Linked DNA regions of Notamacropus eugenii. Each later gene encodes a partner of the first gene's protein in a complex. Links are inferred from orthologs where the notes say so. Each region holds a gene or a part of one and is shown on either strand. Other genes may lie near its edges.

Evidence for each region. Proteins that work in one complex are often made in the same cells at the same time.
Region 2: STRIP2 (region 1) and STK25 share a complex: the UniProt entries of both Homo sapiens proteins name them as parts of the core of STRIPAK complex. The link is inferred for Notamacropus eugenii from reciprocal best matches to the Homo sapiens genes STRIP2 and STK25.

The regions. Positions count from the first base shown.
Region 1 is NC_092874.1:120,780,522-120,788,005, forward strand, and holds the start of STRIP2 (striatin-interacting protein 2), read right to left. Parts: upstream 3,036-7,484; 5' UTR 3,021-3,035; coding exon 2,761-3,020; intron 1-2,760. UniProt on the Homo sapiens protein: Plays a role in the regulation of cell morphology and cytoskeletal organization. Required in the control of cell shape. Calmodulin-binding scaffolding protein which is the center of the striatin-interacting phosphatase and kinase (STRIPAK) complexes.
Region 2 is NC_092877.1:378,498,057-378,505,094, reverse strand, and holds the start of STK25 (serine/threonine-protein kinase 25), read left to right. Parts: upstream 1-4,020; 5' UTR 4,021-4,329; intron 4,330-4,815; 5' UTR 4,816-4,863; coding exon 4,864-4,893; intron 4,894-7,038. UniProt on the Homo sapiens protein: Oxidant stress-activated serine/threonine kinase that may play a role in the response to environmental stress.

The DNA.
Region 1 (7,484 bases):
TGGGTAAACAATGCACCTATGTTTAAAAAAAAAAAACTTTTCAAAGAAGCCATCTTGGCAAGTCAGAAAGCCTCGATTCTAGTCTTGATTCTGCCAAAAACTCAGTGTGAAACCTTAGACAAGTTTTTCTTTCCAGGCCTCAATGACCTGATTTGTAAAATGAGGGGGTTGAACTGAATGATTCCTTCTGGCTCTAACAATCAGTGACTCTATTGAACGTATAATGGAAACTGATTAAAAGGAGCCTGTGTGAAGTTGATCATAAAGAAAAATATTTTTATAAAGTTATTAAGTCCCACATTCCAACAGACTTTTCTTATCAATGTGGACATTCCTTCTAGGGATGAAGATGTCAAATCACCCTGTGTGACCAAATCATCAAAGGTCTTCTTCAGATTCTAAAGTCCATATTCCTATAAACTCATTGTACCATTAGATGGGGAGGAGGAGAGAAATAGTCAAATTATGTCCCTGCCTAGTCAATGTTTCATCATTCATCACATCATTGTGGGGATGGATATGAGAGATGGTCAAATGACATTCTTTTGCGTACAGTGATGCAAGACTCTCTCAATTATATTCAATAAACATTTATTAAGCATCTACTATGTGCCAGGCACTACGGATACAAATAAGAAAAAGCCAGTCTCTGACCTCAGGGAGCTTACAATCAAGTGGAGAAAGATAAATGGGGTGGGAGGGACTGGAGGGCACATGGTGTAAGGGCATCATATTCGGTGGCATCCAAACCAAGCAGAGCTGCTGATGGATGGATGGATGTGAGTGTCTCAGGATGCTTCTGGGGGGGCTTAATAAGGAAGAACTAGGCAAATCTTGTCCCAATATACTTAGCAGTCTAAAAGACTTTTCTTTTTTCCCTTGTCTTCTTAGACATAGGTTAGCCTTCTCCTTCTGCCTACAGTAATCATCCAGAGAGGAGCTCTAGGACCCAAAGAGAAACCTCTGTCTCCTAAGGGCTGTTCACTCCCAACATACCAGGAAAAGCAAGGAGAGATCTGAAGGTGAACAGTCATCATAACTGGCACCTAGGCACACTGGTGATGGGGGACACACTGATAGGGAAAGGCAGCTTCTCTGACTTGCAGAGGTGGGGGAGAGCTAATTTTGTAGGACAGTGTGTTGGCAGGAAACGAACACTGAGATGATCCTGTTAGCAATAAGTTTCAGAACAGGGAGAGCAGGAATGAAAAAAATGAAGATGCAGCCCCAGGCAGACGGGTGAAGCTGCTGCTCTGTGCAGGCAGGAGGGAGGGATCCTGCACAAACCACACCGGCTGCTCAGAGCAAAGCTACCAGAGTCTCTTGCTGAAGAGGTCTGGGGTCACTGCCTCTTCAAAAAGCATAAGACTGATAGATAGCAGGATCCTGGAGAGTCCCGGACTCCTGGGCTCTAACCTGACACTCTCCTAGGAGCATGCCACCAGCATGATTATGGCCAAGTGCTTTTCCCTCTCTTAGTTCCTATTTCCCTACTCCCACAGCCACAAAGAGGAGGGGCATTCTTTAGCCCAAGGTTTACCATCTGCTTGTGAGGAGCCCTTAAGTCTACCTAGAAAAAAGGATTAACTGTATAGGTTCTTTTAAGCGGCCATTTTTAGTGGGAAAGGACTACAGTCATTCAGGACCAGCTAAGATCCATTAAGCCCTGGGGGAAGGAAGCTTGGTCTTTCTTTTGGACTAGGGCTGAAGAAACAGTGAATTCAACTTCCCAGATCCAACCTATTCCCTCCACCCAGCCTATTCACCATTTCACTGAGAATTCTGTTTGAGGAGAAGTGAAAAAACCTGGTCAGCAAATACTCCTGCCAGGTACTCCGGCCAGCAACTCTTAAAGAGCAAGACAGAATGGAGCAGTAACCCCGGTAAAGACCTTCAGGTCTAGCCAATTGTTGGTTCATTCACTCAACCAACGTCAACCGAATGCTTTTATGTGCAAGACATAAAAGTCTTCTTGACTCAGAATTTTAGAGCTGGGAGGGATCAGATGATCTAACCCAATGCTCTTCATTTTACAGTTGGGGGAAACAGCAGGAGGATTTGTCCAAGGTCACAAAAGGAAGCAGCAGCACACCTAGGGTCTCCTGCCTCTTTTTTTCTACCATTCCACGTGGCACTGAGAATAAAACTAAGAAATAGGGGAAGAGCCAATATGGAGAAGGGTCAGGCAAGGCACCCCAGTCTGTCCCTTTCTCAGGTTCCTCTCTGGTCACACAAAGGGTCCCAGCTATGAGTATTTAGAAAGGAGCAGTACTAGAGCAAATGTAAACCTCTCAGCTGCATTAACCAGTCTACATCAGCTGTCCAGGGGCTGAAGTAATATTGGCTAGGTCATCAGGAACATAAGGGAAACTGAGGACCCATCCCTGGCAAGAATGAAGAGGGAAGCCCGGGATTCCATCAGTCAAGTGGCCTGGGTTCAACACCCAGCTTAACCAAGTATACTGGACTTGGATTCAGAGCCCTAGCTCTGCTTCCTACTCCAGTGTGACTGTGGACTTAATCTCCTGGGCCTTGGTTTCCTGATCTGTAAAAGGAGAGGCTTAGACTACTTCCAAGGTGCCTTAATCCGGCTTCACATCTTTTGGATTCCACTATCTACGGGGGAGGAGTCAGGGATCCCCGGGAGTGAGGGCCTGCCTCTCCAGTTACGGTGCCGCGGTCCGTGCAGGCTCACTCTAACTTCGCCCCTCACCACAGCAACCCCAGCCTCTTCCCTTCCCCGGCACAAAACATGCCCACCTCGGACTCCCTCCGCTGGTTCTTGAACATTTCCCGGCCCTTGGGCGACGCCTGCTTTCCCTTGTTGCCTCCTCCTCCGCTGCCGCTACCGTTCCCAGGTGGGCTGCCAGCCCCGAGCCCGGCGCCGTTGGGGTCCTCCATGCAGCTCCCCGCGACTGCTCAGCCCGCTCTGCCAGAGGCTGGCAGGGCAGCCGTAAACCCAGGGGAACCTTCCTCCCGACACACACACCCCGGGACGCCCCCCAGACCCCGCCCCTCATCTCTATTGGCCAAGGCAACCAACTAGCAGCTCCACCCCAAGGTGGGATTCGTTGTCTGGATGTTCGGGGCGGAGGTTGGGGCTCATTCAGCTTTTTGAGTTGTTTAGCCTCGGGCTAGGGTACTTCGGCTCCTCCAAGTACCACCCGACCTCTAGGCCTCTGCGTCCTTGGCCAACCATTCCCAGATTTCAGCCTCAGTTTTTCTAAACTCTAAATATGAGAGAAATTGTAAACTGTCACTTCCCTCCCCCAGCCCAGCTGTAAATGATCTTTTCAAGTAAGCATCTTTCAGTGACTCCTTCAGGTGTCTCTTCCTCTCCTATTCTTTCCTGCAAAGAAGGACCTGAGGGAACATCTAGTACAACCTCTTTACAGATCAGTAAATTGGGGTTCTGGGATGGGAAGCCCAAGGTCACACAGCCAATTAGCTTCCAAACCACCTTTCCTTACCCTCCTCTCACCTATGTACTTGTTCTCTAGAAAGAACTGAGCCTGTTTAGCCTGGACAAAAGAAGTCTGGTGGGTCTTCTTCAAGTAAAGGACCTATGTGGAGGAAGGATTAGTATAGTTTTGGCCTCAAAGTGCACAACCAGGAGCAATGAAATTGCACAGGCAAATATCAGGAGAATCCTGCTAACAGTGAGAGCCACCTAAAAGTAGAATAGCTTGTTTCCAGGGGAAGTGGGTTCCCCTTCTTTGGAAGTCTTCCAGCAGAGGCTGAATGATTACAATACTTGTCAGGTACATTATAGCAGAGATTCCTTCATTTATGGGTTGCACCAGATGGCAACTGAGGTCCTTTCCAATTTTCAAATTCTACAATTACTAAGTAGATCTGCTATAGGACAGCTATTTATTTCTACCACAAAAGAAATGCTTGAAACCCAGAAGGCTCTTCAGTGCATATTGACAAATATTTAAAGCAAGATACAATAATTCATCACTCCTCTTAGATTCTCCCAGGAGGAAGATGCTTACATTATTAAAACAGGAAACATTTTGTAGGACTGCTGAGCAGATACTTTCACCTTGGATCTTCACTGACTTAAGGTCTATATCCTCTGGCAGGCTGAGGCATGGCTTTTGTTCATTCTCCTGGCCGTGATCATTTTTCTCCTCCAAGATGTTGCTGAGATCACTTGCAGAGCAACTAGCATGTGGATTCAGAAGCTCCCAACCTCTGAAACTCATGATGAGGTTCTTGATGAGGTTAGAAACATTGAACTCAGGATAGCTAGTCAGTCACCTGTGCTCTAAGAAAGAAACACAAAGCAGAAGAGGTAACCAGAGGCTCATCCAGAGAGGCGCATGTACTTACTGCCATATTTTTAGAGAAACTCCATACTCAAGTTGATGGGAGTCATAGAGAAAGCTTAAAGAGTTTTGACATGCTTGACAGACAAGAAGAGAGAAATAGCAGAAATTTTCCCTTACTTGGAAGTCTGCTAAGTAGCTCTTCCTGTTCAGTGACCAGTGCTCTTTGCCCTTTCCCCCTCAAATTCTATCATGGGGACCAAAAGCTCAACCAGGAACCTCTGTTTGAAAGTGACCTTCAGCAAGAGGCTAGGGCACCTATTATCAGAAAAGACCCAATCATAGGGCTCAGTTCTATGGGAAATACTCCTGCCAGAGTGGATCAGGGCAGGGTTCCCCTGATTACCTCTATTACAGACACATTTTGCTTTGATATAAAAGAATATATCCACCAACATTCAAACAACCTTCTTTCTCCACAGTGCATTTCCTGAAAATTATTAAACAGAACCTCCTGAGTGATTTGACTAATTACTAAGCCTAACTTTTGGCCTTTATAGCTTACTGATTATTAACAGGATACATCCTGATAGATAGTGGGATCTTTCAATAGAGTTTTGTTGACTTTTCGTGTTGTCTACAAATTCTGGAGCACTTGCATACATATACACACGCATACTTATGCATAAAATGGAACTACATACACACACATATATAGGTTTATATATAGTTCCATTGTCTTCATTTTGCCTCAGTTCACATTTTCCCATATTTCTTTGAAATCTCCAGATTCATTGTTCTTTCTAAAACAATAATACTGTATATTTTTCAGTTTATATAGTTGTTCCCAAGTGAGGCTAGGGAATGTATTTTGTTTTCAGATTATTATTATAAATAATGCAGCCATGAATATTTTTAAATATTTGAGTGATGGGTTTTTTTTTTTGCTTTATTAACATACTAGTGGGATCTCTAGATCAGCATATGAGTAATTTAATAATTTTTCTTTCATAATCCCAATAGTCTTTTAGAACAATTGAGCCAATTCACAGCTCTATCAGCCCTGAATTAGAAAGCCTGTCTTCCCATAGCTCCTTTAGGGCTACTCTCAATAGGTCACCAACCTATTGAACCTATTCAGTAGTACCAAGAGCTATTCAGTCTTGCCTTGGTAGGTAGTGAATTTCCCTGAACTAGGCAAATTTAAGCAGAAGTTGTGAAGGAATTCTTGTAGAAAGAGAATTGAGCCATGAGATATTTAAGGTACCTTCCAATGCAGAGATTCTCTGATTCAAATTCATAAACCACATAGATCAAAGGAAGTTCGTGGTGATATTTGAAGGAGGGACGGTCATGCCATTTTGCTTTGGTTAATTGTATATCTTAGTTTCTTGTCTATTTCTTTTAAGCTCTAACACCTCCTCCACCCCCAAAACTCTTCTCTGCCACTCCCTCTCCATAAGTAATATGGCAAAGAATGAAAGAATGAAAAAAATTTATCAATATTTAGCACTGGCACTGTGCTAAAAATCTCTTGAAATACAAATGCCTAAGGAAAAATAGTCCCTGGTTTAAAGTTTACATTCTAATAGGGAAAATATCACATATAGGGGAATAGAGGACCAAAGAAAGAAGTTTTGGTTTTGGTTGGAGAGTTGATCCATAGGGCAATATTCATTCATTACTGTACCCAGAGGAGGAGGTGGAAAGTGGGATGGAGGAATGTAGAAGATGTGTACGCATGTATGTGTTTGTGAGTATATGTATGTATGTATCAATGTGCCTTGAGTGGATAACTGAATGGGATGTAAAAGTAAAAGCCTAGGATCCAACCCAATGTCTTTCTATGGGCCATGCCCTTGGATCAGCAATGACTCTTTCCCTCCCTTTCTCTTCCTTCCTTCCTTCTTCCTTTTTCCTGCAGAACAGTGGAAGAATACAGATAAAGGGGGAGAGTGGTATCAAAGAACAGACAAGAGCTACCATCCCTGGGAAACAGCTGTGTTCCCTTCTCCTCCCCCTTCTTCTCTTTTCCTCTTTTTCCTCCCTCTCTTTTCTCTCCACACCTTTCTTTCATAGACTAGGCCATGATTTCTAAGGAAGCACCAGGCTCAAGGCCAAAGCTTTGATTTTTGTCTATTTTTTCTTTCTGTTAAATAAGTCAGATTCCAGGAGCCAAACTTTGCTTTACAATTCATTGTGAGGGAAAAAAAGGGAGGGTGTTGAGGGACAGGACACAGCCCACGCCCAACCCCACTCAATGTGAAAAACCTGCCACAGCACAACCCACGAGTGCCTCTTATTAAAGAACTAATTATTCTGCCTTCCTTCCCCCCCATTTCTTCTGTTCTCCTGGGGTGAGAACGCTAGTCAGGATCGACGACTCCCAGAGCTCTGTGTTCTTTTCTACCTGCAGAACTGATCAGTAGTGGGGCAGATAGTAGAATGAGGTCATCAATTCTAGTAACCCTTTTTCCTGCACACCCGAAGTGTCCTATCTGTTAAACAGAAAGGAAACCTAGTCTTCTTGGTGGAAAGAGCACTGGACTTGAGAGTAGGAAAATCTGAGTTCCACTCCCAGCTCTTCCACTAACTGTGTGTAGTTAGACAAGTCACTTTGCATCCCTGCTGTAGAAGAGCCTTAGGTTTGGATTGAGGGGATTTGGGTTCTGATCCCACCACTGCTAACTGTGGACAAGTCACAGCCTCAACTGGGAAACATCTATCACTTCATTTGTACAATAAGATTACACTAAATGACCTCTATGGTCATTCCAGTTCTATATTCCACAAAGGATCTCACAGCCTCAGTTTCTCCATTTGCTTGTTGTTCAGTTGTTGCAGTCATGCCTGACTCTTTGTGATCCTACTTTTTAGTCGAGATGCAGGAGTGGTTTGCCATTTCCTTCTCTAGTTCATTTTGCAGATCAGGAAACTGAGACAAATAAAGTTAAGTGACTTACCCAGGGTCACACAGCTGGTTAAGTGTCTGAAGCCAGTTTTGAACTCAGGATGATGAACCTTCCCTGACTCCAGGTGTGGCAGTCTATCCACTGGGCTACCTAGTTGGCCCTCTACATTTGTTAAAGGTGGACAATTATACTACCTAGTAGTATAATAGTAGTGTAATATATAATACCCTCCTCATTTTAAAGTTAAGGGAACAGAATTAGAACTTGCCCAAGGTCATACAGATCACCTAAGTATGGG
Region 2 (7,038 bases), on another chromosome or scaffold:
TATACTGTGGCCACAAGCACCGCTACATTAATGGGTACGAGGCAGGGATTGTGAACACAGCTACAGAGGGCTAATAGAAATGGGCAAGGCCTTACATGTTCTCTGGCCTTACTTGTTGCTCTTTCTCATCTGCTGAACTATTAGCAAGTGGAAACTGGAAAAGTGTGGCTGGGCCAACAGCCTCCAATTCAGCACCATAAGCATCTCATAATTTCTCTGTGTGCCAGGCTCTGGAGACACAAAATGTCTTTGACCTGAAGAAGCTTACAGTCCAGGTACTACGTGGTAAAGAAAGGGGGTGGGTGGGTGTGCATGTGTGTGCATGAGCATGCAGTGAAACCATATTAAAAAACATGAAAACTCTGAATAATGCAATCATTCAATGAGGATGGGGGTGAGGAGGGAGAACAAACATTTACTAAGCACCTCCAATATGCTAACAGCTTGATAAACATGATCTCATGTGACAGGGCACTGGCCTGGGAGTAAGGAGGCCCTGAGTTCACAAACTATCTCTGACACCGATGAGCAATGCACCTCACCTTAGCTCACCTCGAGAACCTGTTTCCTCATCAGTAAAATGAGGGGCTGGACCCCATAGTATCTCAGGTCCCTTCCAGCCCCAATCTTTAATTAAATGGATCCTTCATGCCAGACTTGCTGGGTTCTGGGGCTACAAAAGCCAAATGCTTCCTGTTCTCAGGGAGTTTACATCCTAATAAATACAGACAAGAATTTCCAGGGTAGAAGAGACTAGCAGCTGGAAAATCAGAGAGAGCCCTCAAATAAGCAGCAGTGTTTGAACCAAATGAATCCCTGACTTAGACAGGCAAGGCCATATTGTAAACAAATTAGAGGAATAAGGAAGAAATTTCCTTTCAGATCTATGAACAGGGGAAAGGTTAATGACTGAGCTAGGAGAAAGAAAATCACAGAAATTAAAATGGTCAATTTTTATTAAACTTTAAAAGTTTTTTTTTTATAGAAACAAAACCAGTATAGCTACAATTGGAAAGGAAACAGTTAACTGGGAAAAACATTTGCAGTAAATTTATCTGATAAAGGCTTCATTTCCAAGATATATAAGGAATTTATCCATATTTATAAGAATAAGAGCCATTCTCCAACGAATAAATGGCCAAAGAATTTGGAGAGGCAGCTGTCAAAGGTAGAAATCCCAACTATGTTTACAGCCATGTGAAAAAATGTTCCAAATCACCAACAATTGTAGAATGCAAATTAAGGCCCCTCTGAGGTTCTGCTTTTTACCCATCAGGTGGGCAAAGTGGCAAAAAGGGAACATGACAAATGCTGGGGCATCCAGGCCCACGGAGGCACTGTTTTCCTGTATATCAGTAGAAGCCTGCTGCAACTGTGAGTTGTTCCAACCATTCTGGAAAGTAATTCGGAATTATGCCAGAAAAATCATGAACACCCTTAACTCCAGCCTTATTGCTGCTAAGTCTGCTTCCTGCTCACGTAAAAACATCAAAGACAGAAGGAAAGGACCTATGTGTACAAAGGTGTTAGGAGAGGCCTGTTTCATGGTAGCAAAGAACTGGAAACTAGGGTGGGGGTGTCCATCCATTTGGGGGGAAAGGCTAAGTCATTAGGGTATGTGAAGGTGATGGAATACTAACTATTGTGCGGTAGGGAATGAGTGACAGAAGGTACCCTTTCAGAGAAACCTGGGAAGACTTGTATGGACAGAGGCAGAGGAGAGGGAGTAGAAACATGACAGCATGGTAAAGATACATAATTTTGAAAGCCTGGAGAACTGTGCTCAACACATGAACCAACCACAATTCTAGAGGCCCCCAAATGCATCACACCAGACACCTACCGAGGCAGTGGCCTCAGGATGCATGTTGGAATATGGCTTTTTTGGACATGTCCACTACAGGGATTTGTTGTGCTTGACTCTGCATATTTGTTCAAAGGATGGAGTTTTTCTTTCTTTTTCAGTGGGTGGAGGAGAAAATACATTTTTTGTTCATTGAAAATAAATTTAAAAACTAGGATTTATGAGTCTGAGACTCTTGCATATACTACTGCACAGGGAAAACAAATGCTTGTTAATTGAAAAATTAAATAAAATTTAAAAACACAACAGGAGCCAAGTGTGGAGCCGCCGTGCCTGTCACCCCGTATCCACATCACTCTGTTTTCTTCCACCATGTCACCTCAAACTCTCCACCACCCAGCTGGACCATCCTCTGAAAGTGCTGGGGATAGCCACCCAGCGGTCCCAGACTATCTGCCCTTTCTCAAGGAGTTTAGCATCTGTCTTGTGAACTCTGCCCTTCCCCTTGTACCCTTGATCTCCCCATCATCCTTCCATGGTCCATCTCCCTGAACAAGAACTCTGAAATTCTTCTGCCTGCCCTCCCGCCTTGCTTTGTATCCTCCCTTTGACTTGGTCTTCACCCTCCATCCAATCATTCTTCCCCTCCTTGCTGAACCAGGGAGATAGACCTACCCCCGCCCGCACCCCACCATGATTGCTTCACTTTCCCATCTTATTCAATAAAGTTCTGAGTTCAAATCCGGCTCCAAGCATTTTCAAATTGTGTGACGCTGGGCAAGTCACTCAGCTCCTGCCTGCCTCAGTTTCCCTCAACTGTAAACTCAGGATGATCACAGCCCGTCCCTCAGAGGACTGTCAGGAGGCGGTGCAAACCTCGGAGCGCAGGGCGTGGATAAATCGGAATTGCTCTGACTTTCCGTCCCTCCCTCCCGGTGGGCTCCTGCCCTGACGCCTGCACGCAAGCCCGGGTCTCTCCCTGTCCCCCCATCCCTGCTCCCCTTCACAGCCTCACTCCCGCAGGATCCGTCCTCTCCTCCCGCCTCCTTCCCAGGGCTTCCAGGCCGAAACAGCTCTTCACAAGGCCACCCCCAGCCTGCTCCCTCCCGATGTCCCCCCTTCTTCCTGGAGTCTCCTCCTGCCAAGCGAGGTTTCTGGGACTCTCTGACCCTCCCGCCCGGCGCTCCTCCTACCTGCCGGGCTGCTCCTCCTCAGGCCGGCGCACCTGGACCCCCGGGCATGCTCCTCCTACCTGCCGGGCTGCTCCTCCTACCTGCCGGGCTGCTCCTCCTACCTGCCGGGCTGCTCCTCCTACCTGCCGGGCTGCTCCTCCTACCTGCCGGGCTGCTCCTCCTCAGGCCGGCGCTCCTGCACCCCCGGGCATGCTCCCCGCTCGGAGCCCGGCCCTGGGCCCGCCCCTCGAGGCGTCCGCAGGGGGCTGTCCCCCTCAGTCCCCCCAGGAGGTCCCCGCTCCCCGGCCTGGAGAGCCGATGGCTCGAGGCTTGACTCCCCCCTGCCCTCCGCCCCCAGCACTGCAGAGGGTCCCGCTCCCCTGGGGGTCACCTGCCGGGAGGCCCCCGCGCCGGGGGGCGCGGGCCAGGGGAGGGTCACGGGTGACCGCGCTCGTCACGTGGGGCCTCCTCTGTGAAAGGGGGCGAGGTCGGACCCCAGGCTCCAGGCCCCCCAGCTCTAGCTCCGGGATCTCCCGGCTCTCCTCCGCCCCTGGCCAGGGGGCGCCGCACCTGGGGAGACGGGCGTGCCAGGACCCACCTGCAAGCAGCCCCGCCCCCAAACAGCGGCCACTCTGGGGGGCCGCCCAGAAGCCCCCCAAGACCGACCTGGGGATGGAGAAAAGGAGAAGGGGGAGGGCGGAGGGCACTGTCGGGGGCCGAGGCCTTCCCTCTCACTGCCCCTCACCGGACCAGGTTTGGGGGCCCGGCAGAAGCTCTGCGGGCTGACAGGGGTCACGCTCCACGGTTCCTCCCATCCCCCGCCCCCAGTCTTCCTCCGCGCTAAGCCTCCTGGGATTTGGAGTCCTCGCCCCCCTCCCAGAGGCTCCTCGAGGAAATGCCGAAGCCCAACCAGCCTTTATCGCCGCTGCCGCCTGAGGCCCTGCCCGGAGGCCCCGCCCATTTCCCAAGGGACGTCAGGGAGCCGGAGTGCCCCCTCCCCCAGCATCAGGAGCAGGGCTTCGGGAAGCGGGACTACAACTCCCAGAAGGCAACGGGACGCCCGCGACTGCGCAGTGGCTCTCCCATCTCTGCCCCCACCCCCTCCTCGCTCCTCCGCCGCCCTGGCTTTCTCTATCTCCAGACGCCGCGGGAGCCGGACCGGAGCCGGAGCCCGAGTCCGAGCCGAGCCCGAGCCGAACCCGAGCCGAGCCCGAGCCGGAGCCGCGTCTGGGGTCGGGCCGCAGCTGCTCCCGTCACTGTCAGGCGCTGCGGGCGAGGCCCAGGGCGGTCATGGAGACCCCCGGAGGCGGGGCGCGCTGAGGCCTGGGGCCCCCCGGGGGCGCCTCAGTCCAGGTACGGGGAGGGAGGAGCCAGAGGGGGGATGGGAAAGGGCTGGGGGCGGGGTAGGAGGGGGGTTGGGGGAGAGAGCGGTGCCGGGTGGGGGTGGGGGAAGGGCCGGAGAGAGGGAGGCGGGCGTTGGTGCAGGGAGGGGGGGAGGGGAGACCAGGTGTGGGGGAGGGGCCGGGAGGGAGGGAAAGGAGGGGGCTACGCGCCCCAGGGAGTCTAGCCTGGTCTGGAGGGGAGGGGGCGGGACCAGCCCAAGGTCACCTTTCCGTCAGTAGGTTGGGGGGGCCCAGCTGTCTGTGCTGCTGGTTCCGATTCTGGGGTGCAGCAGGACTGGGGGAGGGGCAGCCCTGAGAGGTGGGGGGGCCCAGGCTTGGAGTCCGGGGGAGGGGGAGGTGCCGGACCTCCCCCATCTGGGCCGGGCCGGGCCGGGCCGGCCGCCCTGTGCGCCCCTCGGACCCCGAAACCCCGTGTCTTGGTCTGCGCGGATCACAGGTGACGAGCCGCGGATTGGACCGGGCTGGCGGCGGTTGGCCGGGAGACATGGCTCACCTGAGGGACTTCGCTCAGCAGGTAAGGGCTGGGCGGGGTGGGATCGCTGGCGAGATCGTGGGGCAGGATCGTGGGCAGGGTTGCGGGGCAGGATCGTGGGGCAGGATCTCGGGCAGGCGGGATTGCGGGCGGGATCCTGGGCAGGGTTGCGGGGCAGGATCGCGGGCGGGATCGTGGGGCAGGATCGCGGGCGGGCGGGATCGCGGGCGGGATTGTGGGCAGGGTTGCGGGGCAGGATCGCGGGCGGGATCGTGGGCAGGGTTGCGGGGCAGGATCGCGGACCGCAGCACGCCGCTACCCGACCCGAAACAGGGCAGACTGCCCGCCGGACCCCTCGCCCCTCGCCTCCCCCACGCCACGGTGCCACCCGCAAGTTTAGAATTCCCCTGGTCAGTAAAGGGCATCCGCGGGGTCCATCTCTCCTGAGCGCCACGAAGAGAGGCGTGCCAGTGGGCAGGACACCTTCGGAGAGTGGTTATCAGGTGCAATCTCATCTTTTACGCGACTGCTACCTGGTGGGAAGGAATCAAACTTGGGGTGGGCTCTGTTGGCGTCCAGGGGACCCCGGCAGAAATTGAACCCGCGTCTGGGGAGGGGGGACTAGCACACCAAAGGACCGTGGCTAAGTGTGGGGAATGCCAGGAGCCTGGGGTTCTCAGTCCTAGGGCGCTGCTGAGTGGGCCAGCCATCCCCCTGTCTGGGGCCAGGTAGCGATTCTCAAGGGTCCCAGTCTTCTTCCCTGTGGCTCCTCAGAGCAGGGACAGCACCTTGACATTTGGGGAGATTCTTTTGTGAGCCATGCGTGACTATCCCCTTGTGCTTTCTCGGTGTGTATGGTTCAAGTGAGCTGCTTGAGCATTTCTGCTGCAGAAACTTCTGGGAAGGGGCCCTCGGCTGGGGAGCCACCCTTCTCTGGAGGTGGGACAAAAGCTGCCCTTTGCTTTTGGCTGCCCTGCGACTAGCGCCCAGATCATGTTTGTGCTTTGTCTGAACAAAACTGATCATACAAGGAGGTTGACTTAGGTGAGAGCAAAGAAGGTCAGTGGAGGTAGTCGTTGGAGATAGGTAGAAATGCATTTTGACTGTCAATTGGAGGACACTTTTTTAGTTAAACATATTATTTTTAAAACTGTGAGTTTAGAAAGAGTTGCTGAGTCCTTTTAAGAGAAGAAAAAATAGGGTGGAATGATTGTGCCCACAGGTACAGAGAGGTTAAGAGAAGCCTTGTAGTCCCCTAGGGTAATTGTGTGGCGCTGAAATGAAAGGACAGATGTCACTGGGCCTGGCCTGGTGATAATGCCAGCTGCGACTGCAGGTGGGGCCTTGGAGGGAGTGCTGACCTGACATCTTGGATTCGTCTGCAGAGCAGTGGTGCGCTGTGGAACTTATCCCCTCATACGTGTGAATGGGGCTCCAGCCGTGAAGAGTGTTGGGGTCTGTGAGCAGAGGAGGCAGAAAGAAGCGCTCCCCACTCGTTAGTCCCTTTGGCAGCTTGAATTCTGGGTACTGCTCAGGGCTGAGGGCCCAGGAGTAGACCTAGCACTGCCTCAGGTGGGGCTGGGCCCTCAAGAGCCTTGAGCAGCTACCAGGTGTGGGCACCTCAGAAACTCCTTCCACACACTGTCTGTTCCAGACAGAATTACAGTGCAACTGATGCTTCAGGTGAAGGCATGTAGAACCAGGAGCCTGGGGAGTGGCCCACCCCTCACACCCCGCAGTTCATGATGACAGGCCCTTTAGAAGAGCAAGGAAGCCCAGAGTGTCCTCAGTGGGCTAGACATAGTCCTACAGTGAAATCTAGGAGGCAGCTAGGGATCCAGCAGGGATGACCTGGTGGGACCAGGACTTTTGAGGTCTTTTCCACCTCTGACTCTGTGCTGTCTCAGCAAAGTCCTCTCTTCTGTGGCAGCCAGGCCAGCTCCCAGAGGAATAAGCAACCTGGCCCCTGGCGCCCCCCAACACAGCCATCCTTGGGACCCTGCTGGTCTTGCTGGCCACAGGCCTGTTGGGGTGACTTGTTCCATCAGCCCCTCTCAGGCACAGGGTCATGACTTCTGGATTGGCCAAAACTAACATATGGTGACCCTTTTCACTTGCACCTGACTCAATCTTCTCTCTCCTTCAGTGTTCACCTCTGCCCTCCAGTTGTTTTTCTGAACCATTGGA